2 linked regions of the Arabidopsis thaliana genome follow. The protein of the gene in region 2 purifies or fractionates together with the protein of the main gene of each other region. This does not show direct contact. Each region holds a gene or a part of one and is shown on either strand. Other genes may lie near its edges.

The links. Proteins that work in one complex are often made in the same cells at the same time.
Region 1: the proteins of SDH7 (region 2) and MTO2 purify together in Arabidopsis thaliana (affinity purification with mass spectrometry, with the first as the bait; one large-scale study listed by BioGRID). This does not show direct contact.

The regions. Positions count from the first base shown.
Region 1 is NC_003075.7:14,599,012-14,602,765, forward strand, and holds MTO2 (Pyridoxal-5'-phosphate-dependent enzyme family protein), read right to left. Parts: upstream 2,045-3,754; 5' UTR 2,004-2,044; coding exon 423-2,003; 3' UTR 205-422; downstream 1-204. Other genes in the region: VIP3 (Transducin/WD40 repeat-like superfamily protein), read left to right, coding at 1-146; AT4G29850 (transmembrane protein (DUF872)), read right to left, coding at 2,807-2,928, 3,674-3,754. UniProt on the Arabidopsis thaliana protein: Catalyzes the gamma-elimination of phosphate from L-phosphohomoserine and the beta-addition of water to produce L-threonine.
Region 2 is NC_003076.8:25,115,686-25,119,439, forward strand, and holds SDH7 (succinate dehydrogenase subunit), read left to right. Parts: upstream 1-1,728; 5' UTR 1,729-1,856; coding exon 1,857-1,916; intron 1,917-2,001; coding exon 2,002-2,070; intron 2,071-2,368; coding exon 2,369-2,471; intron 2,472-2,809; coding exon 2,810-2,880; 3' UTR 2,881-3,207; downstream 3,208-3,754. Other genes in the region: AT5G62570 (Calmodulin binding protein-like protein), read left to right, coding at 1-77, 208-368, 533-739, 821-1,282.

The DNA of each region.
Region 1 (3,754 bases), on a different chromosome or scaffold from region 2:
TGAGAGCTGCGATTCAGACAATGAGCAACCACAATGACCAGGTTTGGTCTGTGGCCTTTAGACCACCAGGTGGAACCGGTGTCCGGGCTGGTCGACTTGCTAGTGTCTCTGATGACAAGAGTGTATCGCTCTATGATTACTCATGAACAATTCGGTTTTTTGACTTTTTTCTTTTATGCATTCTCCAAGACGCATCTAGTTGTAACAATATAATCTGCAACAGGTTGATTTTGACCGGAGTCTTTAGATTTATCGCTTACACAAAAAACAAAGAAGATAAAATGATTCAAACTTTGCGATAGAACTTTATTGGAAAACTGAGAAACAGATAAAGATCACAGAGAGATGAGTTGAAGAGTAACGCAAACAAACGTCTAAAAGTTTTCAAAAAACAAAACAGCTAAAGATTATGGTCTTGTCTCTTATGACGTAAGTGTATTACTTCCTAAGTAACTCTTGAGAACATCCATGACAGCTCCGAAATCTGCTTTCACATCAACAGGAGGATTGGAGAATCTGCAAGCCATGTCAGGGATGGCATTGGAGTGATAATCTATCTTAGACTGAGTAAACTTCAACCCATGAGCAGTACTCACTACCACAGTTCGATCAGTCGGTGCAATCACTCCTTGATTCCTCAGCTTGAACAGAGCAGTTAGAGCAACACCTGTATGAGGACAGATAAACATTCCTGTCGAATCCGCTTGAGCCATCGCATCCATCAGCTCCTCCTCTGTGGCTTCTTCTACAATACCATTGCACTTCTTGAGAGCGTACACAGCTCTATCGATGGAGACAGGGTCACCGATCTGAATCGCAGAGGCGAAAGTGGTACTTGCAGTCATGGGCTTGAAGTCCTTCCAACCAGACTTGTAGTGCAAGTAAAGAGGATTAGCATTAGCTGCTTGTGCACAGACCATCCTCGGGATCCTATCGACAAGTCCCAGTTCTTGACACATCTTAAACCCTTTGTAAAAGGCATAGATGTTTCCTAGGTTACCTCCAGGAACAATCACCCAATCAGGAACTTGCCAATCAAACTGCTGCAAAATCTCAATAGCTGCAGTTTTCTGCCCTTCTAACCTCAAACTATTCAACGAATTCGCCAAATAAATCGGCAATTCCGCAGTTATCTCTCTAATCAGCTTCATACACCCATCAAAATCAGTGTCAATACTCAAAACAAACGCACCATTAGCTATCGGCTGAACCAGCTGAGCCATAGAGATCTTGTTCGCCGGTAAAAACACAATCGATGGGATTCCAGCGGAGGCGCAGTAAGCAGATAGAGCAGCAGAAGTATCTCCGGTGGAAGCACATCCGACACCAACCACAGGTCGTTTCATCTTTCTCAGACGATTAACTTGACTAACCAAAACAGTCATTCCAAGATCCTTGAAACTTCCTGTATGACTAATCCCACAGTGTTTCACCCACAGATCATTCATACCTAGAAACTGCTTACCAAATCTCTCTGCCCAGAACAGATTCGAGTTTCCTTCAAAAGCTGAAACGATGTCGTCGTCATCGATCTCAGGAAGAACCCACTCTTTCTTCGACCAAACACCCGATCCATAAGGCCATGTGCTTTTACCAACACGCGAATCGAAGAGATCACGCCAATACGCGCCATCGAATCGCTTCAAAGCCTCCATATCGTGTTCGACATCAAGCAAACCACCGGAGCGGCTACGGTACACGATCTCGTCGAGAGAGTAAGACTCCGTGGATCCAGGAGCTGCATTAAACGGAACGTATTTAGCTGAAAATGGATTCACGGCGTTGGAACGATTACGACGAGCCTCATCTCGAATGTTATCCTCGGTACGGTGAGGAGGCTTGACCGCTGTCTCGATCGGGGCTTTGATGTTGTTGCCATCGGCGGTACAGGAGATGACGACGGGGCGGTGGCGGAGGAGAGAGGTTGACCGGTGGCGGCGGATGGGGTCTTGTTTAGGGTTTAAGGACGATACAGAGGCATTGAAGAGACAAGACGAAGCCATTTTTTCTAGAGAATGAGAAGTGAGATGCGGCTGAGGATTTTGAGGAGAGGACACGAGTGAGAGAGAGAGAAAACTATATTCAGATACTTAAACCGGAAATGTCTTAGAACCGGCTAGTCGGTTTAAGCTTTTAGGTTAATTGGGATTATGTATGTGACGTAGAGAGATATTTTGGGCCCATTAATCATTCAAATATCTGGATCGCTTTCCGTATATAGCAATTGAATATTTATGTTTTGTCACGTTTTGCTTTAAACAGGCTAATAAAGTGCATGTTATAAGGAACATTCATGTTGATGACAAAAAGATAAAAGGTTACATTTGACCCAAAGAAAACAATAATGTTGAACATAAAAATTCACATAAGAATCACGTTTTAATTTTGATATAACACCAATACACCATCATGATATAGATTGAAACTCTAGTAGTAACAATGTGTAAGTTGGCCAAATTTGTAATCAATTAAATACTGCATCCAGAGGAATTTGATGGAAAATGAACAATTACATCTGAAAGCAACATGTGAACACTCCAAGTATCCCATATTACTTGGTTCGAATTGGAAATCTTTATAGAAACAAATATCAATTTGAACCGGGTGTATATTTATAGATATGTAAGTATAAATCTGACTAAACTGTCACAGACTCGAATTTATTTGACAAGAAGAAGGAGAAAGTAAGAAAGGACTGGACTCAAATTCTATAAAACTACACAAAAGAGAAAACAAGTCAATCATTGCTATAGAGTAATAAAACATCTCTATACATTTTGAGTAGGAGAGATTCAAAAGGGGACACCTAAACGGGCGGTATGTTTGAGAAGGAGAAACCTTTGTATCCTTTGTAAGCATAATACGCAATCCGTGTATAGTAAAACCCGGGAATGAACAGAAGACACCCGAGGACGATGAAGAAAATCCCTGGTTTCACCATCAAAAATATCAAACAGAGAATGATAGGTCATTGATGCAATGATGAGAAAGAAGTAGTTCCGGCAAAACGGAAGAAAACAGCAAATCAAATGAAATCAAGTTTAAGTACAATGCTGATACTTGCTTTCGCTTTGCAGTATTGCATTGGGGATGTATGAAATGCATTAATGAATTACAAGCCCAGAGGAAGAAGAGCAAACTAGCTAATTTGAAGTGAATCTCATGTCTATGTTACAAGCAGAATTGGGATATATCAATAACAGTATGTGATGATAGTGATCTAAAAAGTTAATGGAATCCAACGGAGATCCTTCCCTTTTTTATCTCACAGATAAGAGAAGCTTAGAATCATCATATACTAGTTTCTATCGGAAGTTTACTAATCATTCTAACAATGAAATCAAATCGTATGCCTTTGGAAAACTTGTGTCTATTCATCCAAATCTCCAGAAAACAGAGAGCAAAAGGCCAAGCTGAAACGAAATTACACTCCACCGTAGCTAACCAGAGCACTTGCAATCTATATCTATCAGCTTAATTACCAAAATTATAACATAACTTCACCAAATCTAAAAAAATTCCTAAAACAATCTAGCTGAAATCAATTACTGTTTTCTAAATCTCTCAAACTAGCAAAGATAAGTCCCACATATTCTCTCATGAATTCCCAATTTCTACTCCAAGACTGGATCAATAAATGTGGAATAAGTAAGAAAGGTGAAGAAATCGCTACCGTGGCCTCGATCACCGCCAACTCGATTATAAGCCATGAAGAAACCGGAGACAATTCCTAGGGTTCCGAACACGAGTAAAG
Region 2 (3,754 bases):
AGTGGATCAGTTTGATTATGTCAAAATTAGAGAGGCAATAACAGAGTCCTTTGTCGTAAGAGATCATCGAGGAGAGTGTAAGTATTGCTTGTTAGTTTATTCTCTCACATTGAGTATCATTGAACCAATTTACTTTCCTGTTCTCATATTTTCTGTAAATTAAAAGAAGTTGTTTCTTTCTTATGACTCTTTCTCTCTTATTTGTAGTGTACAAAAAGCATCATCCTCCTTCTCTTTTCGATGAAGTATGGAGATTGGAAAAGATAGGGAAAGATGGAGCATTTCACAGACGACTGAATTTGTCAAATATAAACACTGTCAAGGATTTCTTAACACATTTCCATTTAAACTCTTCAAAACTCCGACAAGTAAGATTCGTCTTCCTTACTCTGTGCCTATGTGACTAAGGCTTCTGTGGTGGGCGTGAATCTTTTGTGTCACCAGTAATAATGGTTTGTGATTGATTCTCACCTGGTGAGAAATACACAGTTTTAACTTGTCTACATGTAATGATGATTGATGTTCCTTGCAGGTTCTTGGTACGGGTATGTCTTCAAAGATGTGGGAAATTACTTTGGACCATGCTCGATCATGTGTTCTAGATAGTAGCGTCCATGTGTACCAAGCTCCTGGATTTCAGAAGAAAACAGCTGTTGTCTTCAACGTCGTAGCTCAAGTGCTTGGACTGCTCGTGGATTTTCAGTATATTCCTGCTGAAAAGTTATCAGAGATTGAAAAGGCACTGATCCTCTCTGTCTACATATTTGACTTGGTTTCTCTTCTACATACTCTCAGGTTTACATAAATTTTCTGATTTCAGGCTCAAGCGGAGGTGATGGTAATTGATGCATTGAGTCACCTAAATGAAGTAATCTCGTATGATGATGAGGTTTCCATGATGAGGAACGTTCTCAATGCCCCGGCTTCTCAAGGCAGTGTTGCCGGGATTGATTATTCGGGTCTGAGTTTGACCAGTTTGGACGGATACGGTTTTGTGTCAAGTCTTCACAACACAGCAGAATGTAGTGGCAAGCACAGTGATGATGTTGACATGGAAGTTACTCCACATGGTTTATATGAAGACTACGACAATCTCTGGAACTGCTCTCACATTCTAGGCTTAGAAGAACCGCAATCTGAGTTGCAGAGTGCGCTTGACGATTTCATGTCACAGAAGAATGCTTCGGTCGGTGGTAAGGCTCACAGCAAAAGATGGACAAAGCTTTTCAGTGTCTCGAGATGGCTCTCTGTTTTCAAGTATGTCAAGTTAGGAAAAATATAAAATGAGTTTAGTACACAAAAGAACAAAACGACTCGCTGCGCCGCGCCCTGGACAGATTCGTGTATATATATACTCGGGGAAAGCTTGGGTTTCTGATGATCCAGAGGCGTTCAAAAGTGTTTTCTTTCTTCTTCTTCTTCTGGTTGTCTCCATCTTTGTGTTAAAGATGTGAATATATGTTTTAGGACAGCTTCATTTTTGTTGAAAGCTTAAAAAACAGGGTCTTTTATAATCTCTGTGATTAGTACCAAATTGCAGATTTGCAGAACTACGTTTTTCTTGGTTTGTCAGGTAATGTGAAACTGAATAAAATGAATATTATTTGAATCAACTGAGATTTTACATTATCTTCTAGAGTTTTGTGTTTGAGATTCAAAGAACACTAGACTGAGTATGAAGATTTTGGGTGAGTAAAAACAATCAGGGTGATAATTTATCATACAATAGTTTTGGGGTCAAAATGGAATAATTCTAGAGTATAGAGCCCATGTTGAAAAGCTCGAAAATTCTTTCCAATTCCAGAAGAAAAGGTTTTGCTGTTTCCCTGTGAGCGATCTTCGATACTCGTCTGGGCATGGCGTTTTTGCTCAACAACGCTTCAATTTCATCTCATTTACGCTCGTCTTCTTCACAGGTTTGGATCAAATCTTGTTAATCGATTATTGTTGGAATTTTGTTTGATTTTTGTGACAATTTTTTCCCTTACGAAATTTTTGAAGAAGACGGGTGATGCTTTATCAATATCGCGTCGTGGATTCCACATTGAGCCAGGAACTCGAGAGAAAGCTGTAAGTTAATCTCTGTTTCTGTTCGAGTCCTGGATCATTTTGGACTCAGTTTTTGTGGAATTTTCTGCATCTATTGTGATTTGAAGATACTAATTAGGGTTCATGAAAGAATTGGCTTTTATATAGATTCCCTGAGACTCTCATGTGTGTCCCTAGTAATGTTCGTTGTCTGAATCTATTTGAAAGAGTAATTTTTATGAGAGTTTTGAGTTGTTGTTGATGCTTATGCTGTTGTTATATGGCATTTTCTTAAAGCTCTTGATGAGTTTGTGTTTGCTTAAATTGAAATCCTGTGTAGCTCTTGGCTGAAGATTCTGCTTTGAAGAGATTCAAGTCTCATAAGAAAAGTGTGCACAAACTGAAGAGGATTGGTGATGTGCTCACTGTTGTTGTTGTTGCAGGTAAAAACACTTTAGTTCATAACTTTTGGTCGAAGCTAATCAGATTCTTGTTTTGTTAGTGGTCTAGAAACATAATCTGGTATGGTTCAGGAATCATAATGAATCTGAGTAAGAGATTGACTAGGCTAGGCACACTTAGATATTTTCACCTTGCTTCTTGCAATTAAGAAAGCTGTAGATTGAATCTCATAGGTTTCATGTAGAGCTGAGCTTATTATGTCAAATCAAACTAACAACGTTCTTCTCTGTTGTTCTTGGTAATATGAATTATGGATTCACGACATACTCGAAATCTAAATTGTGACTTATCTCGTGTCTTGCTTGTTTTTTTGTCTTAGGATGTTGCTATGAAATCTATGTCAAAGCTGTGATGAAAAAAGAAGCTCTGGCTGCAGGGAAAAGCTCATGAGTGTTCTTGTCTTTGTATGCCTTTTTGTTTTATCCTTTATACAGTGTCTCTTTCTAATAATCTCACAATAATGTTTGTTTACTCAATGAAAATGGCATCTAATAAAGTAGACTAAAAGAAAAAGACATTGTCCAGGGAAACCAAACTCTGGTTTTTTCTGACGTTGTGTGGAATCTCTGCTTTTTCTTCTTTTTAAATATTCCTTAGCTTTTCACTTATTTGTACTTTGCTTAAAGATACACTCTCCATTTATAGATAACTGCAACGATTAATGTCTTATCCATGGATTAGGTGACTGTATTTATGTGAAATTGTGAATGATCAATCACACTTAATGGTTTACACTGGACATGAAATTGTTTCGAAAGGATTAGTAGAGCGAGTGGGCCGGTTCGGTGTAGCCTACCTCTATCTTGGGCCTCTCTCTAGGCCCAATTTGGGTTCAAACCGGTTGAGACGAGGTCTCAAACCGAAATCTAACTTTACACCCTTAATTTTCAACCTAATTGTGACTCAACAAGAACATATCCACCACTGACCACTTGTTTTCCACAAATCATGCAAATTTGATTAATACCTACTGAGTACTGATAAAAACAAGTACAAAGAGCTTTCATGCTCCCTTCTGATAACATTGGTTCACCAAAGATGTAATATAAAAAATGTTGGAATATTAGTTGAACCACCTTGGAGAACGTATAACAAAGAAGCCCAACAAATCAAGTTACTTTTGCTTGATTTGCACACATTCATGTTTGAAAGCTACAATTCATATGTTCTATATTATCTACATTTATACTCATAGTTGATATGTTGTCGAAATTCTATCAATTTATGATATTGATAGGTTTGCAATTTCGTAAAAGAAACTCTC